5 linked regions of the Macaca mulatta genome follow. The protein of the gene in region 3 interacts with the protein of the main gene of each other region in a pairwise test. Links are inferred from orthologs where the notes say so. Each region holds a gene or a part of one and is shown on either strand. Other genes may lie near its edges.

What was found.
Region 1: the proteins of RETREG3 (region 3) and ABHD16A interact in binary tests that used the Homo sapiens proteins (3 or more experiments, as listed by UniProt). The link is inferred for Macaca mulatta from reciprocal best matches to the Homo sapiens genes RETREG3 and ABHD16A.
Region 2: the proteins of RETREG3 (region 3) and MAP1LC3A interact in binary tests that used the Homo sapiens proteins (3 or more experiments, as listed by UniProt). The link is inferred for Macaca mulatta from reciprocal best matches to the Homo sapiens genes RETREG3 and MAP1LC3A.
Region 4: the proteins of RETREG3 (region 3) and GABARAPL1 interact in binary tests that used the Homo sapiens proteins (3 or more experiments, as listed by UniProt). The link is inferred for Macaca mulatta from reciprocal best matches to the Homo sapiens genes RETREG3 and GABARAPL1.
Region 5: the proteins of RETREG3 (region 3) and STAP1 interact in binary tests that used the Homo sapiens proteins (3 or more experiments, as listed by UniProt). The two-hybrid records come from large-scale screens. The link is inferred for Macaca mulatta from reciprocal best matches to the Homo sapiens genes RETREG3 and STAP1.

Annotation. Positions count from the first base shown.
Region 1 is NC_133409.1:150,617,221-150,621,206, reverse strand, and holds the start of ABHD16A (phosphatidylserine lipase ABHD16A), read right to left. Parts: upstream 2,810-3,986; 5' UTR 2,780-2,809; coding exon 2,648-2,779; intron 2,367-2,647; exon of another isoform or gene 2,213-2,366; coding exon of another isoform or gene 2,189-2,212; exon of another isoform or gene 2,111-2,188; intron 1,634-2,110; coding exon 1,577-1,633; intron 1,252-1,576; coding exon of another isoform or gene 1,191-1,251; intron 830-1,190; coding exon 763-829; intron 518-762; coding exon 431-517; intron 1-430. UniProt on the Homo sapiens protein: Phosphatidylserine (PS) lipase that mediates the hydrolysis of phosphatidylserine to generate lysophosphatidylserine (LPS). LPS constitutes a class of signaling lipids that regulates immunological and neurological processes.
Region 2 is NC_133415.1:87,344,312-87,347,739, forward strand, and holds MAP1LC3A (microtubule-associated protein 1 light chain 3 alpha), read left to right. Parts: upstream 1-1,279; 5' UTR 1,280-1,434; coding exon 1,435-1,474; coding exon of another isoform or gene 1,475-1,495; intron 1,496-1,803; coding exon 1,804-1,859; intron 1,860-1,942; coding exon 1,943-2,049; intron 2,050-2,318; coding exon 2,319-2,481; 3' UTR 2,482-2,921; downstream 2,922-3,428. UniProt on the Homo sapiens protein: Ubiquitin-like modifier involved in formation of autophagosomal vacuoles (autophagosomes). While LC3s are involved in elongation of the phagophore membrane, the GABARAP/GATE-16 subfamily is essential for a later stage in autophagosome maturation.
Region 3 is NC_133421.1:66,945,792-66,949,305, reverse strand, and holds part of RETREG3 (reticulophagy regulator 3), read left to right. Parts: intron 1-3,131; coding exon 3,132-3,238; intron 3,239-3,514. UniProt on the Homo sapiens protein: Endoplasmic reticulum (ER)-anchored autophagy regulator which exists in an inactive state under basal conditions but is activated following cellular stress.
Region 4 is NC_133416.1:10,339,735-10,343,785, reverse strand, and holds the start of GABARAPL1 (gamma-aminobutyric acid receptor-associated protein-like 1), read left to right. Parts: upstream 1-1,238; 5' UTR 1,239-1,432; coding exon 1,433-1,522; intron 1,523-4,051. UniProt on the Homo sapiens protein: Ubiquitin-like modifier that increases cell-surface expression of kappa-type opioid receptor through facilitating anterograde intracellular trafficking of the receptor. Involved in formation of autophagosomal vacuoles.
Region 5 is NC_133410.1:65,902,222-65,905,735, forward strand, and holds part of STAP1 (signal-transducing adaptor protein 1), read right to left. Parts: intron 393-3,514; coding exon 226-392; intron 1-225. UniProt on the Homo sapiens protein: In BCR signaling, appears to function as a docking protein acting downstream of TEC and participates in a positive feedback loop by increasing the activity of TEC.

The sequences.
Region 1 (3,986 bases), on a different chromosome or scaffold from region 3:
GTATGTTGTATTCTTGTACATATATATTGTTTATACATGTGGAGGAGTTTCCCTAGTGTGTATACATATATAGAATTGTTGTAGGGTATATGCATCTTTTCTAGATAATAGCAGCCAGGCATAGTGGCTCACATCTACAATCCCAGTACTTCAGGAGGCTGAGGTGGGAGGATCACTTTGAGTTCAGGAGTTTGAGACCAGCCTAAACAACATGGTGAGACCCTCTCTCTTAAAAAAAAAAAAAAAAAAAAGCAAACCTTGTTGTTTTCATATTTATAACCCAAGTCTTTTAAGGAAAAGATCATGCCTTAAACCATTCTCAATGATTCCCTCTCGGGGCCCATCACTAAACTGTATTTGCACAAGGTACTTAATATGTACCCAGTGACAGTGACAGATAAGATTCAAACCAGGTTTCATCTTGACCTACCTCGGAGGCAGGCCACGCCTGCCAGAAGTAGCAGCAATGTCCCAGCATAGTGAGAAAACGGCACCACTTTGGACAAACTCAAGTAACCTGGGAAGGGAGAGGGACAATGTGAGACCCTCTCCGCAGTGTTCCTCAGCTCCTCTTCCCAGTTCAGCCCCAACCTCCACCCCACACTCCCTGTTTGGAACAGCCATACCCTAAGAGGAAGAAGATGCCTGATGGAAGAGGGAAGCCAAGCCATCCTCACAGGTCCCCTCTCCTCTTTAGGGAGCTGGCTCCTCTGCCAACAACCTGCCCATTTGCTACCCCACCACGTTTGAAACCACACTGACCTTTCCTGTACAAGTAGAAGAAGGCGAAGGGAGAGGAGTAATAAGAGATGGACCAGAATACTGAAGCCTGCAGCAGAGAGACAGGGACAGGCAATCAATACACACACATACACACACACATACACACACACACGCCTGCCATTCCAGGCCTATACTCTGAGCAAGATGGACAACCTGAGGGATATCATATCATATTTGCTGTATGACACCATGAATACAGTAGATGCTCAATATTTGTTGAAAAGTAGTGTGTCAGTGTAATGGAGGCTGGGAAAACTAGGTACAGGTTCTATTTTCTTCCTCTGGAATTATGGAAGAATTATGTCTTCCATCTCCAGGCATAATTCCATCACATTTAAAGGCAGTCTCTCTGTCTACTCAAGTTAATCAAGCCTTTTCAATTGGCCCTGCTCAAGACAGCCCCTGACCTGGTCCCCAAGAGATGCGCAGACGTCACCACAGGAACTGTGCCAGAACAAACAGCTGTCCCTGCAGCCAAAGAGGTTAGTTGCCAGGGAGGACAGGTCACTGGGGAACTGCAGGACTTAGCACCTGCAGATGGTCCCAAGAGTAAACATGTTTTCCTTATGGCTCAGGCTGCCCCCAGAGAAAGCAGTGCTACATACCAAAGGGGAGTGCCAAGTATGCACACTTTGAGTGTGTCTGTGTGTCTGTGTTGGAGAGGTCTGCTGCAGAGCCCAGAGCATCCCCCAACCCCAGGGGTACTGTTGCTCCCAAGCTAGGGAAGGCTAAGTTCAAGAGGACAGGTGGGTCTGAAAGATGCAGAGAGTCCCAGATGCCAGGGTAGACATACCAGTGCCAGGATGCTGTCAGCATGTTTCTCCAGGGCACGGGGCTGATAGTACGTATCCTGCCAAAACAGATGGCCTCCTTAAGGACCCTGCCACTGGCAGGTCCTTTTCCTTCCCTTTCAGAAGCTCTGCTGTGTGTCCTCCGGTTCTACTCTCGTTGACTATCTCTCTTGAGACATCCCCGGCCCCCACAGAAAACCCTCTTCCTCACCCTCACCCTGAACCTAATTTCCCACCCCTGACCATGGGAACAAACACAGGGAGCTGGACTTGGAAGCAAAAGTGAAAGCAGCATTGGACGATTTTTGCTCCTTTTCCACAGTCTAGTTTAAAATGGATTGCAGGCGCGTGCATATGGGGAGAAGGGTTAGTTTCAGAAGAAAGACACCAAGACAATCTAAGAGGGAAAGAAAAGCATCAGAAATAAGAGTAGTTGACTAAGAAGAGAATGTGGGTAGGAGCGGGCAGTTTGTAGGAGACAGTAACACAATGTGAGACAACTGATAAAGAGGAAGATAATATTTAGAACAGCCTACCACCACCCGCCCGCTCTCCAGAATACAATGACTCGGGTCTCCAGGCTAGGTTGGGCGGGGGTTGAGGGGAGGACCTACGGATACAGGATCTGTAAAAGTCATTCTGAAATTCAAGGCGAGGGTAAAGGGAAGATAAAAACGGAGCCGAGGGAGGCACGAAGAGGCATTGCGAAAGAGGAAATTGGGAGTTCGACGGCAAAATTCAACGGCTCTCCAGTCCGCGCAGGGTCTCTTTCCCGGGACTTAAGACTCAACTAGGACTGGCACGAACCACGACAGACAGGGTGGGGGGACGCGGAGAGGAAAGAGCAAGGAGTGGCAGTCGAAATGAGATAGCGGTAAAGAGCGAAAAAGAAAGGAGGCGGCCAGTCCGTAGGCGTGACTTTAACTCAGGAAGCACACAGAGCGCAGACTTTGCGGACGACTGGTTTGACAAGCAGGCTCCCCTTATTTCCCATTATGGGCACTTCTGAGGAGCAAAGGCCGTAAAGGGTTTGGACTGTACCACGTTCCTCGGCGGGGAGGAACTCGACTCACCCAGGAGCTGGAATGGGGGGCAGTGACTGCCGTTGGCGTTTCAGGGACGCTGGCCGGGGCCCTTTCAGAGTCTCTCTCCCGGTAGATTTTGTACAGCCGGGGGCCTAGGACGCAGCTCAGCAGCTTCGCCATGGCCCTGGCTTGGGCCGCTGCTCTTCCAGCAGCAGGTCCCCCTGCCGGCCCCGCCCTCCCTGCCTCTGAGGTGTTGTGTGCCCTTGACGTCAGCCCGTACCGGCTCCGCCTCCGGGCGAGTTGCGACATTTTCAGTGCTTCCTGAGAAGAGTTTCGCGCAGTTGGGGCTACGGGTGCAGCAGTGGTCCGAAACTAGTGGAAGATTTAGGAACGCGGAGAATCAGAAAATTACCAGGCATAGCTCAGTAATTTTTTTCTGTCTCATTATTGGCAGACTCTAGAGCGACAGCGGAAACAAGGGGTGAGATTAGGAGTACTTGATAAGAGTAACAGAAAAGATAAGGTGTCTAGGAATATATCTAGTACAAGAAATGCAAGATGTTATGAAGAAGACTATAAAAAGTTACTGAAAAGGCAAACTGGCCCGGCCCAGCGCGGTGGCTCACGCCTGTAATCCCAGCACTTTGGGAGGCCGAGGCAGGCGGATCACTTGAGGCCAGGAGTTCAAGACCAGCCTGGCCAACATGGTGAAACCCCGTCTCTACTAAAAATACAAAAATTAGCCTGGCGTGGGTGGCGCGCACCTGTAATCCCAGCTACTCGGGAGCCCGAGGCACCAGAATTGCTTCAACCTGGGAGGCAGAGGTTGCAGTGAGCCAAGATCTTGCCCCTGCACTCCAGCCTTGGTGACAGAGCAAGACTGTGTCTCTAAATAAATAAATAAAGGTAAACTGGCCCAACGCAGTGGCTCACGCCTGTAATTCCAACACTTTGGGTGGCCAAGGGATGATTGCTTGTGTCCAGGAGTTCCAGACCATGGCTCACGCCTGTAATTCCAACATTTTGGGTGACTGAGAGAGGATTGCTTGCGACCAGGAGTTCCTGGCCAGCCCAGGCAACATAGTGAGACCCCATCTCTACACAAAATACCTAGGAAAAAAAAAAAAAAAAAAGACCTAGCAGGGTGTGTTGGTGCGCACCTGTAGTCCCAGCTACTTGGGAGGCCAAGGTGGGAGGGTCGCTTGAGCCCAGGAGTTCAAGATTGCTCCATGCACTCCAACCTGGATGACAGAGCCTGGCCTCAAAATAATAACAATAATAAGTGAAAAATAAAAAAAGAAAGAGGTAAACAAAAAGCTTTTCAATAAATGGAAAGCTACACCATGGTCCTGGATATGAAAATTCAGCACGGTGAGATATGGGGAAT
Region 2 (3,428 bases), on a different chromosome or scaffold from region 3:
TCTGATTGCCCTCTCAGTCTCCCATGTTCTTCTGTCTCATGCATCTTGTTTCTGTGGCCCACAGATTATCCATTATTCATGTTGCATATTAAATACTTGTTTAGATTTACTGACATGTTTACTAATTTGCTCACCATTTTTCCATCTAATTTCTTCCTTTTGGGTTCCATGTCTTTGATACTGAAGTACATTCTTTAAAAATTATTTTGGCGGCTGGGCGCAGTGGCTCACGCCTGTAATCCCAGCACTTTGGGAGGCTGAGGCGGGCGGATCACGAGGTCAGGAGATCGAGACCATCCTGGCCAACATGGTGAAACCCCATCTCTACTAAAAACATAAAAAGTAGCTAGGCGTGGTGGCAGGCGCCTAATAATCCCAGCTCCTTAGGAGGCTGACTGAGGCAGGAGAATCGCTTGAACCAGGGAGGCGGAGGTTGCAGTGAGCTGAGATCGCACCACTCTAGCCTGGCGAAAGAACGAAACTCCCTTTCAAAAAAAAAAAAAAAAAAAGATGTTGATCTTCGGTCTGTGCCTTCTGCTCTGGATTTTAAGCATCATTTCTGACAGCTCTCATTCAGGAACTGCCTCTGCAGGTCTTTCAGTGCTCGCCTGTGGAGCTCTGCTCCGGCCTGCGAGTTCTCCTGGCGTTGCCATCCGTGGCCTTTTCCTTTTAATTCTCCATCACCTGTCCTCTGGTAAGCTGCTTGCTATCAGCCTCCAGGTCCACGATTTCTCTTCTGTTGTCCTGCTCTGCCTTCTTGCCACATCCTCTGAGACCTGAATTTCGATAGCTCTACTCTTCAATTATATTATTCTTTTTCAAACCTGGGCGTTCATTTCTAGCGTCTTGCTCTATCCTGTGTCTGACTGTGCCTCCCGCACCTTCTCCCTTCTCTTGCCCTGAGCCCCCTTGAAGGCGCCGGGCCTTTGGCTCCCGCTGTTTCCCACGGTGCCCAGAGCCGCGGGTCAGTCCTGACACAGACTCGGTGAGGGAAGGAAGTGGTGCCACGGGGCTGCAGCCTGGCCCACCCGCTCCATCGGCCCAGGGCGGCCCCACCGCTCTCCCGGCCTCACCAGAGTCGGGGCCACGGGAGAGGCTCCCGCGCTGCTCATGACGTCACGGGACTGTGACGCGCCCAGGAGCCCCGCCTCTCGTGTCCCGGGCCGGGGACCCAGGCTCTCTGCGCCGTGACGTCACGGGTCCGGGCGGGCGGGTTGTGCGTCGGCCCAATGGGAGCTGCGCGCCGGCCTCCCCTTTAAGGAATGTTGTGACCTGACGTCACCGGGCGAGTTACCTCCCGCAGCCGCCGCCGCCGTGCTCAGCGCGAGCGCCGGAGCCCTTGAGCGCGAGGCACGGAGCCCCCGGAGCCCCCAAACCGCAGCCACATCTCCGCGCCCCAGAGCCCCGGCCTGCGCGCCCAGCCGGGCCCGCGCGATGCCCTCCGACCGGCCTTTCAAGCAGCGGCGGAGCTTCGGTGAGGCCCGGCAGGCGAGCTGTGAGCTCGGGGTAGGGGTGCCGGGGAGGGGGGGTGCCCGGCCGACCCAGACTGCCGCAGGTGACGTCAGCCCCGTGACGTCAGGCTTCGGCTGGACCCTCGGGCTGGGAGGCTGGCTCCGGCCTGGGCGGGGGCTGCCTGCTTCCCCACCACGATAGGTGCCAGGGGCTGTGGGGCCTGACGGCCCCGGGGGCGGGGGCTGGAGCTGGGGCGTGGCCGGGGGCCGCCCCTTGGGGACAGGCAGGCGGAGACGTGGGGAGGACCTGGGCCGGGCCGACCCGGCCTCACGGTCTGGCCGCTGTCCGCAGCCGACCGCTGTAAGGAGGTACAGCAGATCCGCGACCAGCACCCCAGCAAAATCCCGGTAAGTCCTGCACCCCCAGCCCTGCCCCGGCCCCGCCTCGCGCGTCCCCGACACAACCCCCTGCCCGCCCGCCCTGCTCCCAGGTGATCATCGAGCGCTACAAGGGTGAGAAGCAGCTGCCCGTCCTGGACAAGACCAAGTTTCTGGTCCCGGACCATGTCAACATGAGCGAGTTGGTCAAGATCATCCGGTGCGTGGGCAGCCGCTGCCAGGTGGTGGCTTGGGTCGGGAAGGGAGACGGGTTCCCGCCGAGAAGGGGTCAGGGGTGATGGGACCGGTGGTGGACCCCTGTTCTGGGGCGGCTGGAAAGGTCAAGGTCGGGGCTGCAGTCGGTGCCGGGTCAGAGGTGACAGGTGGGGTGAGGATGGGTGTGAAAGGCTGGGAATCATTCTGGGGGTCAGGGCTACGTTGCCCCGTAGCCAAGCCCCTTACAGCCACATACTCTCCCGCCTGCCTCAGGCGCCGCCTGCAGCTGAACCCCACGCAGGCCTTCTTCCTGCTGGTGAACCAGCACAGCATGGTGAGCGTGTCCACGCCCATCGCGGACATCTACGAGCAGGAGAAAGACGAGGACGGCTTCCTCTACATGGTCTACGCCTCCCAGGAAACCTTCGGCTTCTGAGCCAGCAGTAGGGGGGTCGGCCTGGGAGTGGGGGGGGGCCCGGTCAGGCCCTGCCCAGAGAGCTCCTGGTTCCTGAACTGAGCTGCCTCTGCCGTGGTGGGCTGGGCAGGCATGTGCCCCCCTAGTCAGAGGGCAACCCACCTACTCTGCCCCTGGGTGGATCCTGGGCCGGTTGTGTTAGGGTTGTCCCTCTGGGTGCTGGCTGGGATGGGGGAGGGTTGGGAGCAGCCCCCAGCACCCCGCTGTGTGGTTCATCTTTTTTTTAGGCCCCTGCCTGACTGCCCATCTGCCCCTCACCCACCCAAGGCTCTGCCCACGCCTGGACCTGCCCACCCCTGAAAGACTGGCCCCTGGCTCCCCGCCCCTCGGTCTCCACATGGTGTATGGATCTGTGGTCATTGTCCCTCTGCAGAATAAAGATTGCTCAGGCCTGCCTGGCCCCGTGCCTCCAGCTGCTTGCTTGGGAGTGGGAAGGGTGCTGGTAGGGCTGTCTGCACCATCCCCGGGCTCTGGCGCACAGACTTGTGTTCTGTGGCCTCAGTGCTTGCTCTGGAAACCCACACCTGTGTGTAGTGTTCAGAACATTAGGGTCCAACCCTCTAGGAGTGCAATGCAGATGTGGTCTCAGGGTAGACTTCATAACAAAAAACATTTATTAAGTAGCTACAACCTAACAAGCCCTGCTCACCTGCCTCTTCTCCTTCCTGCCTGGGAGGGGGCTCCTTGGTGTGCAGAGCCACGAAGTGGGGGGGTCCAAGTTGGGGAGCTTCCAGTTCTTCCCCACAGGCCTTACTATCAGCCATGGGTCTCTTTTGGTACCAGAGACTTGTGACCCTGGACTCGAACCTCTTCTGCCCGAGCACTCGCCTGCTGGCAACTCTGACTGGAGGGCTTGGCCCAGCTTCTGGCCCCTCAGCCCCCTGAGGTCCACAAAGCCCTGTGCCAGC
Region 3 (3,514 bases):
TCAAAAAATTCCATCTCCAAAAAAAAGTACAAAAGGCCAGGTGCAGTGGCTCACGCCTGTAATCCAGCTCTTTGGGAGGCTGAGGCGGGCGAATCACAAGGTCAAGAGATCAAGACCATCCTGGCTGACGTGGTGAAACCCATCTCTACTAAAAAAAAATTAGCTGGGCATGGTGGTGTGTGCCTGTAGTCCCAGCTGCTCGGGAGGCTGAGGCAGGAGAATCGCTTGAAACCAAAAGGTGGAGGTTGCAGTGAGCCAAGATCGTGCCACTGCACTCCAGCCTGGGCAACAAGAGCAAAACTCCATCTCAAAAAAAAAAAAAAAGGTACAAGAATATCTAGAGACAAAATGTGAAGTTCCTCAGCCAATCCCCTGTGTACGTATGTATATTCAAGTGTACAGCGGGATAAATTTATTTATTTATTTATTTATTTATTTATTTATTTATTTTGAGACGGAGTCTTGCTCTGTCGCCCGGGCTGGAGTGCAGTGGCGCAATCTCAGCTCACTGCAGGCTCCGCCTCCCGGGTTCATGCCATTCTCCTGCCTCAGCCTCCCGTGTAGCTGAGACTACAGGCGCCCGCCACCAGGCCCAGCTAATTTTTTTATTTTTTGTAGCTTTAGTAGAGACAGGATTTCACCGTGTTAGCCAGGATGTTCTTGATCTCCTGACCTCGTGATCCACCCGCCTCGGCCTCTCAAAGTGCTGGGATTACAGGCGTGAACCACCGCGCCTGGCCTTTTGTTTTGAAATGGAGTCTTGCTTTGTCTCCCAGCCTGGAGTGCAGTGGCGCGATCTCGGCTCCCTGCAACCTCCGCCTTCCATGTTCAAGTGATTCTCCTGCCTCAGCCTCCCGAGTAGCTGGGACTACAGGCACGCCACCACACCAGGGTAATTTTTGTATTTTTAGTAGAGACGGGGTTTTGCCATGTTGTCCAGGCTGGTCTCGAATTCCTAATCTCAGGTGATCTGCCCACTTTGGCCTCCCAAAGTGCTGGAATTACAGGCTTCAGCCACCATGCCTAGTCTTTTTTTTTTTTTTTTGAGACGGAGTCTCGCTCTGTCGCCCAGGCTGGAGTGCAGTGGCCGGATCTCAGCTCACTGCAAGCTCCGCTTCCCGGGTTCACGCCATTCTCCGGCCTCAGCCTCCCGAGTAGCTGGGACTACAGGCGCTGCCACCTCGCCTGGCTATTTTTTGTATTTCTTAGTAGAGACGGGGTTTCACCGTGTTAGCCAGGATGGTCTCGATCTCCTGACCTCGTGATCCGCCCGTCTCGGCCTCCCAAAGTGCTGGGATTACAGGCTTGAGCCACCGCGCCCGGCCTGCCTAGTCTTTTCAGAATACTATGAAATGCTATTTATATTCTGTTCTAATATATACATGATTTTCATCCAATATTTGTGTTTTTGAGACAGGAATCTCACTCTGTTACTCAGGCTGGAGTGCAGTGGCCCATCTCCGCTCACTGCAACCTCTGCCTCCCAGGTTAGGGATTCTTGTGCCTCAGTCCCCCAAGTAACTGGGACCGCAAGCGCACTACCATGCTCAGCTCATTTTTTGTATTTTTTTTTAGAGATGGTGTTTCGCCATGTTGCTGAGGCTTGTCTCGAACTCCTGAGCTCAAGCAATCTGGCTGCCTCAGCCTCCCAAAGTGCTGGTATTACAGGCATGAGCCACCGCACCTGGCCAGGGCTCTACAGTTCATGTTCACATCATGTGTTATGTAGGGGGAAAAAAGGGAAAAAATTAAGACCCAGAGTGTAACATTTATGCTATCTGTACTAATCTGTGTTTCTGAATTTCCTCATTTAATATTAAACCAAAATTTATCTGAAAAAAATAACTACCTTAACATCTAAAAGAAAAAATTCCTTAGTATCATTAGATGTGTTTTCAATGTTAGATTTCTCAGACTGTTCAAACTTTTTTTATGGTTGATTCCTTCAAATAAGAACTAGCTTTTCCTTTATCTTACTGATGTGATGCCTTACACTTATTCATTTTTTTGTATGTTAAACCGCCCTTGCAGTCTTGGGATAAATCTCATTTGGTCATGGTGTATAATACTTTTAACATGCTGCTGAATTTAACTTGCTAGTATTTTATTGAAGATTTTTACATCTATATTCATAAGGAATATTGGTCTACAGTTTTATGGTGTCTTTGGTATCAGGATAATGCTGGCCTCACAAAATAAATCAAGAAGTGCTTCCTTTTTTGTTTTTTTGGAAGAGTTTGAGAAGCATTTGTGTTAATTCTGGAGAACTCACTTTTATTTATTATTTATTTATTTATTTATTTATTTTGAGACCGAGTCTCACTCTGTTGCCCAGCCTGGAGTGCAGTGGTGTGATCTTGGCTCGCTGCAACCTCTGCCTCCTGGGTTCAAGCAGTTCTTATGCTTCAGCCGCCCAGGTAGTTGGGATTACAGGCATGCCTCAGCCTCCCAGGTAGCTGAGATTACAGGTGCACATCACCACACCTGGCTGATTTTTGTATTTTTAGTAGATACGGAGTTTCACCATGTTGGCAGGCTGGCCTCGAGCTCCCGAACTCAGGTGATCCACCTGTCTCAGCCTCCCAAAGTGCTGGGATTACAGGCTTGAGCCACTGCGCCTGGCCAGAACCTGCTTTTAAATATAGCTTTCATGCCAACTTTCTATGTGACCTTAATCAAATATTTTTCAGGCCTCAGTTCCTTTATCTGTAAAAAGATATGTAATTGAATTAAATGCTCTTGAGTGCCTCTCTATCAGTTTGTTGCCCTACACTAGGGTCTAATTTGATAGAAAGATGTTGGCTTTCATTATAACAACTTGTTATCAAGGATGAATTTCTCCGTGAAATTAATAGAGGTACAGACTGGAAAGCTGAAGGAGCTTTAAGAAGTTATTTGATTTAGTCTTCTGTCTTTACAGCAGCAAATTATCCTCTCTGCCCCATAGGTACAGTAGTTAAGGTCCAGAAGGTTTAAATGATTTACCCAAAGTATATAACTAGTTAAGTGTCAGAACAAAAAAAGCTAGACCTCAGGTCTGTTTACCACAGAGCCCATAGTACACACGTGGCCTTTTCTGAAATTAGCTTAACTAGATAAATGATCTTTCTTCTGTTTTTCTTCCTCTGTAGGTTCTTTGCCCTGACATCCCTTCGTCTTGTGTTTTTACTTGCATTTGGCTTGATGATCATTGTGTGTATTGATCAATGGAAGAACAAAATCTGGCCTGAAATAAAAGGTGAGTTTGGTAGCATTTAGAACAGTCTGAACTGAAGATGGCCTTTCCTATAATTTGTACCTTTAGTATTAGGGGTTTATGAGGAGGTGTATGGAGCTGGGGACTGACTGTCTTTCGAAGTCTGAATCATTTGCTTTAGGAGGCACTTGAAGGACTTGTGCCCCAATTATGGTTCCTTGGAGCTGGGTTCTGCCCTTCCCATTGTTACTAAGCACAGGTAGTCTGTACTCACCACCTGACATATTTTTGCCAACATAATGGCCTGAGGAATAAGTA
Region 4 (4,051 bases), on a different chromosome or scaffold from region 3:
ACCGTACTGGTTGGAAGGTCTTTATTCTTTGACTCTAGGTGGGGAAAGCGAGAACGAGGCTTCGCCGCACCTGCCGCAATGCCCAATCTTCCACTGGCATTCCAGGCAGCGCTTTCCAGCCACGTGAGGGATACCTAACCACTGGAACTAAATAAGATGTGGGGGAAGAATTGAGGTCATCACCTAAATTGCTTGATACTCTCTTTTCCAGAAGACAAGCCTCCTTTCTGAGTTAATGGCAGAAAGTGAATCACTTCTTTCTTTCTTTTCTTTTTCTTTAAGACGGTGTTTCGCTCTTGTCGCCCAGGCTGTAGTGCGATGCCGCGATCTTGGCTCACCGCAACCTCCGCTTCCCGGGTTAGAGCGATTCTCCTGCCTCAGCCTCCAGAGTAGCTGGGATTACAGGCATGGGCCACCACGCCCAGCTAATTTTGTATTTTTAGTAGAGACGGGGTTTCTCCATGTTGGTCAGGCTGGTCTCGAACTCCTAACTTCAGGTGATCCCCCTGCCTCGGCCTCCCAAAGTGCTGGGATTACAGGCATGAGCCACCGCGTCCGGCTAGAAAGTGAATCATTTCTGTATTTGATTGTACGTGAAGCCCTCCGTAGTCCTGACTGACATCACGTCTCCTTTGGACCTTGATTACACTCCGCGTCCTTCATCTGACTCCTCTCTTCAGATTCCTGAGTCACGCTCTGTTTATGTTGCTGTTCAGGAGCGAACTGCGGCGCGGCCCAAACACTGTGACGCCAGCGCGGGAGGAGGGCCGCGGGAGGGGCAGCGGAAAGCGCAGAGGGCACGGTGCAAGCACGGGACAGCTCTGCATTGGCCAAAGGGATCCCAGGAGGCCTGGGCCTCTTTTCCCCTGAGGCTGGATCCCAACCAGCAGGAAAAGGATTTTCGCCTTTTGTATTTGTTTTGGGGCCAAACCAAGAAAAACAGTGGAGGGGGAATAAAACATGTTTAAAATTGTTTTTGTCTTAAAACCGTCTTTCACAGTCACAAAATAAAACACAACTAGAATGTTTTGATGTTTGCAATGACATCGATTTTGAAAAACGTTAGCCAGAAAGGAAACGCAGTTAAGACAGCACTCGGCCGCCCCCTGCCCTCGGCGCCTGGGGGGCGGGGCGGGGCGCGCAGGGTGACGTCACAGCCCGACGCGCCACCCAACTGTTTTTGTGCTCCCAGCTCCAGCGAAAAGCCGCCGGTGTTTCTCCACCTGGCTCTCCTCTATCTCCGGGCAGGCTCACCCGAGATCCCCCCCACACCGAACCCCCTCTGCACGCTCGGCCCAGCGCTGTTGCCCCGGGAGCGGACGTTTCTGTAGCTATTTGAGCACACCTTGACGTCGGCGGAGGGAGCTGGACAGGGCCAGCAGCGAAGGAGGCAGGCCCCGCGCGGGGAATCTCGGAAGCCCTGCGGTGCATCATGAAGTTCCAGTACAAGGAGGACCATCCCTTTGAGTATCGGAAAAAGGAAGGAGAAAAGATCCGGAAGAAATATCCGGACAGGGTCCCCGTGAGTGTAGAGGAGCGGGGGGATGGGAGGGGAAGGGCCCGCGGGGGCGGGGGCTGGGAGTCGAGATGGCTTCCCTGGGGCGCCCAGGCGACTCTGGGGAAGGGAGGTGCCGATAATTAGTTAATCCTGAACGCCCTTCAGTGCCCGAGCCAATGGACGTCCAGACTGCGGAGCTTTTAAAACCACATATGCCTGGGGCCTGAACCCCACTTCAGGGCTGACGGTGTTTTTGGGGCCGAGCTGCCATCTTCAGTGACTCAGCAACCCACACGGTCTCAGCAATACTGAGACCCTGTGTGGGTTGAGGTGCGCAAAATAGCGCCCCTGTGTGCGAGAGTGGTTAGATCAGGGCCGTGGATTGGCTCCCTTTAAGAACGCGGGGACACTGTGCTGTGCGGTGAGGTTTGCGCAAACCCGGTCGATTTCTGCCTTGGCTGGTTCTCCTTTAATGAAGTTGACTTTGGCTGTCATATCATTGGGCTTGGGAGGAAAAGGTTCAGAAGCTATTCGGTTCTTTTCTTGCATGACAGGGGGGTAGGGGAGCACAAGACAGTCCGGGCCTGAAAAACAAGGTCACGTTCTCTGCGCAACAGCCCTCTTGCCTCATCGTTCTAGGCTCCGGGAAATGTGTAGGGACAGCCAGCCTCCCCCGGTATTGATTTCTGATCACCTGGCACCTGCACGCGATAAGGCAGGACTGAGACGTTTTTTCTGTGTTTTGGACACCGGCTTAAGTAGTTAAAACTAGCGCAGGTAGTGAGTAGGAACAGAGAAGAAACATTAGGTGTCTTTCAGCATCCGGGCGTTTTCCCCATTACCCCCTCCCCCGTCCCTTGCCTGGTGTTTCTCTAATGTGGGCTGCGCAGCCGAATTGGAGGGCAGAGTATGACTTTTAAGTGGTAAAGGGACCAGCAGCTGTTGGATTTTGGAAATGGAGGAGCAGAGATTTTTAAAATTGTGCTCTTTATCTTCAGGTAGGAACATCAGGATTACATGTCACATCATGGTAAAATAATTGCTGTTATCTGATGTCTTATCTTGATTCGCAGCCACTCTGGGTTTCTTCTCTAATCCTTACCTAACGTTCGTGGTTTTATAGCTACCAGAAGCCAGCAGGGCCTTAGCCCAGCAGTAGAAACCTCTTGTACCCCTTTTCCTTTAAAAAAAAAAAAAAAGTCATTAGGGCTCTTCCATTCCTCAGGAATTACCAAAGGGTTTTCAGTTTATAGAGGGGTGAGCTAATCCCTTACTCGGTAAAGGATCCTTTACAAAATACTTTGCTGGTTTCTGGACCTTGGATACCTGAAAATTTTGCCGAGTTCTGGTGATACCAATCTTTAGAGCAATGATATTTAAAAAATACAGTCATATTTTACTAATAGTTTACAGTAGCAGTATAAGTACTCAGTCTGTAATCATTCGCTTAATCTTTACACGATTATAATCCCCGTTCTACAGACGGAGTATTCAAAGCACAAAGAAATGCGGTAACTTCCTAAAGGTTTCACATTGCTGATCTGTGTTTGAGCCGGAATTCTAACCCTGTCTGACGGACTGTGGAGCTCTCGGAGACCTTAACCTCCGTGTCATACTGTTTCTCAGTTTCTAATATAGTTGTTATTAACCAGAATTAATGACGTGCTGTGGACTTCACACTGTTAAGTATTGGAAATAGATAAATACTTATGTGTATTCTGAATATTTCAGTGCATTCTGTTCTTTTCATGCTCATAGTTTGGTGTTAAATGTTTTACTCCTGTGATAATTTTTAAGCCATTAAGACTGTCACTCAGATTTCAGCTTCCCTAGGGTTATGTTTTAACCAGCGCTGAGCTGCTCCCAAGGTGCTCAGTCTGTGACCTTCTTTCTAGTTATGACGCAGGTTCCTTGATTTGGTTCTAGTTCTGGGAATTCACTGCATCCTTGGGCAGAACTTTTAATCTTGCTGTGCTAGATAGAGTGCCTTGTTTACAGAAAAGAGGGTTAGAGTAGTGGTTCCTAAAGCCCATTCCAGCTTGACCATTGGTGTTATTCAAGCAGTGGTGTATCCTGACTGCTCGCATAACCAGAGTTTAGTCCCACCAATATTTCTTCAGAGCTAACAGTTGAAGAGGTATGCTTGTGCCTTCAGAGAGGAGGGGTTGGTGGGATCTTGAAATTATCTTCAAAGACACAACATATCAAAAAGACTGCTAGAAACAGATTGTCTATTTTAAAAATTCATAGCTCTATTGAGTATTAGTCACATTTTACAAATGAGGAAAACTGAGACCCAAAGAGGCAAAGCATCTAGCCCAGGGTCTACCATAGTGAGGAGTAGAGTTGGGATTCCTGGAAATTTAACCTTGGTTCTGGGAAACCAATCCTTTAATAATTACCCCTCCCCCTTTTCTTCCTCTCCAAACCCCTGCCTTCCCTCCAGGTATTGCGGTCTGCTTTATCACTTTCTTTTTCTGTCTTCCTTTGTGGTTTTTCTCTCTTACTGCTAGGTCTCAGAGTTCCTTTGGGGCACAGTGCTAGCCTCTTTCT
Region 5 (3,514 bases), on a different chromosome or scaffold from region 3:
GTGGGTGGAGGGGATTTCCTGTGTGGTAAGATGGTTAGTTCAAATCTGCATTTTGTTCATCATGACATAGAAGAGGAAATGTGGCATGTACTCAGAGATATACAGTTTATCCCCAAGACTGCATATTGTCCCTGGCTTAGCAAGAGCAAGTGGCTAACTCTCCTTGATAATTAGAAATTAGTTTTAACAATTGAATGAACAAACTGCAGTTCATTGTGCACTTACGCTGGCATAGGGTTCAGTACATCCACATAATCTTCAGTTGGTTCCTTCTCTTTTTCCACAGATGTACTCTGCTCTGTCTCAATCCTCCTTTTCTTTTCTCTCTCTAGGACTTCATGTAGTTTAATTACTTGCCCAGGTAGGAGTGACACATTTTGGGGAACTGACAGCTGAAACCAATTAAAAGAGTAGGCAGGCAAGAAAACAGCTTAATAACTTACAACTTTAGTAAAGATGAACCTGTTCTGATCCTACAGGACTGCAGTTACCTGACAGAGGTGAGTGAGTAGGGAATAAGGTAATAAGAAACAGGATTTTAGTCTAGGGTGGGTGTCTCAGAACTGCCTCTGCACCAACTACAATCTGCACAGAGTGCCTACCCTTCTTCCAAGGAATCTTTTGGTTTGGCCCCAAAGCAAAGAATACCCCACCTTGCACTAAAAGCTAATTCAAGTAACAACAAACCTCATATTTTTCATTCTGAGCTCACTAGTTCATCAATGCCAGGGAAGTTCCAGAACACCTTCAAGGTACCTTACTCTCTCATAAGTAATCTGAAATGATTTCCCCCAGCTATCTGGCAACATGGGATTCAAATGGAACTGTTCATTAGATGACTGAAGAGCGGCAGTCAGAGGTCCCTATTTTGTGTCTGTGGTGTGTTTCAAACATTCATTCACGTGTTAGAATTATGATATTTCTACTTATTCGTTGGTTTTGTGGTGGTTGTTACCTTTCCTAGAGATGTATTTCATATTGACTCACCTATATATGTCCTTCTGATTTATATTCATACCTCCGATTTTGACCTTATTATGACCAGTTCTGTGTTCTTGAAAGGTGTAGTTTGAATGGTAGGATATTTTTTGTACGTAACACTAGCAAGTCTGTATTTGGAGGCAGCCTTATGTGATTATCACCTTTATCTTCAGAGAAGGGTGCATGCTTTCCAGGAGGTATACAAGAAAGTTCATTAGAGTATGGGAAGAAAACATTATAACTTCACTTTCTATTAAGTTACTATTTCACTAATTTGTATTATTATATATGTTTGAATATGTGTACAAGTACATATAAAATTTACATAAACATTTACTAATAGGGATATACAATAAAAAGGGCTTAGAGACATTTTTAGATAACTAAGCTAATAACCAGTAAAACAATTTCCATATATACCAGAAAAAATAAAATAATGGGGAAAAATACCTAAGGAAGCACATATCTTTATTAATTGGCTATTATATCTCAAGCATTGTACATGTTGTATTGCAACTCCTCACAGAAATGCTGCAAAGTACTGTTACACGGGAGGGCGCAGTGGCTCATGCCTGTAATCCCAACACTTTGGGAGGGCAAGGCAGGTGGATCACTTGAAGTCAAGAGTTCAAGATCAGCTGGCCAACATTGTGAAACCTGTCTCTACTAAAAATACAAAAATTTTGGGTGACATGTGCCTGTAATCCCAGGTACTTGGGAGGCTGAGGCAGGAGGACTGCTTGAACCTGGGAGGCGGAGGTTGCAGTGAGCCGAGATCAAGTCACAGCACTCCAGCCTGGGCGACAGAGCAAGACTCCATCTCAAAAAAAAAAATGGTATTGTTATCCCCAATTTACAAATGGTGATATAGTTTGGATATGTGTTCCCACCAAAGCTCATGTTGAATTAGCCCCAGTGTTGGAGGTGGGGCCTGGTGGGAGGTGTTTAGGTCATCGGGATGAGTCTCTCATGGCTTGGTGCTTTTCTTATGTTAGTGGGTGAATTCTTGTGAGATCTAGTCATTTAAAAGTGTGTGGTACCTCCTCCCCACTCTCTGTCTTTCCTACTCTCTCCATGTGACATGTCTGCTCCCCCTTCACCTTGTGCCATGAGTAAAAGCTCCTTGAGGACCTTCCCAGAAGCTGAGCAGATGCTGGCACCATACTTCCTGTACAGCCTGCAGAACCATGAGCCAATTAAACCTCTTTTCTTTATAAATTACTCAGTCTTAGGTATTTCTTTATGACAATGCAAGAATGGCCTAATACAAATAGAAAAAAAAATCAAGCTCAGAAAGATTAAATAACTAATCCAGAGTCAAATAGCTAGTAAGTTATGGAACCAGGACCCAAAATGGGGTTTATTTGATTCAAAAGTAATGTCTCCATGCTTTCAACTACATACAGTCTGAGCTGCTCTCACTTCTCTACTAAAGTTATCCTAATAACAACATACTGTAAATTGTTCATATGCCGTGATCTGGAATCATAACACAAAACAACATTTACAGAGTACAAAATTGAGGCAACTTGTCTTCTCTTAAAAATTCACATAGGCTGGGCATGGTGGCTCACACCTGTAATCCCAGCACTTTGAGAGGCCGAGGCAGGAGCATCACTTGAGGTCAGGAGTTTGAGACCAGCATGGCCAACATGGTGAAACCCCATCTCTTACTAAAAACATTTTTTTTTTTTTTTTTTTTTTTTTTTTTTTTTTTTTTTTTTTTTTTTTTTTTGAGACGGAGTCTCACGCTGTTGCCCAGGCTGGAGTGCAGTGGCGCGATCTCCGCTCACTGCAAGCTCCGCCTCCCGGGTTCCCGCCATTCTCCTGCCTCAGCCTCCTGAGTAGCTGGGACTACAGGCGCCCGCCACCGCGCCCGGCTAATTTTTTGTATTTTTAGTAGAGACGGGGTTTCACTGTGGTCTCGATCTCCTGACCTTGTGATCCGCCCGCCTCGGCCTCCCAAAGTGTTTTTTAAAAAACTTAGCCGGGCATGGTGGTAGGTACCTGTAATCCCAGCTACCCGGGAGGCTAAGGCAGGAGAATTGTTTGAACTCAGGAGGTGGAGGTTACGGTGAGCCAAGCTTTCACCACTGCACTCCAGCCTGGATGATAGCATGAGACTCTATCTCAAAAAAAAAAAAAAATTATCATAAATTTTATCTTATATTCAGTTACTTATTTATGTGTGTGTTTTAATATAAAAATAATGCTTTTTATTCTTACTCCAGGAAAGAAACTAAAAACAAAATGTTTAGCCAAAACTTTATACGTACTTAGTGTACCAGGAAGATGCAACAAGTTTTTGCCAGTGTTTTTAGTGTACTCCTTGACACTTAGTCACATATACCCTTGGGATAGTTATACCCCGTATTGGAAGCACCATACCACACAGTGATACTTTCAACAACAGAGGGAAAGAGTGCAATTCTCCAGGATTTCTTCCTCTCCCTCTCAGAAGTCAACATGTTCTTCACATCTTTAACTGGTCCACTTTTCTAGCCTCATATAGCTTCCCTACACAGTAGTTGAA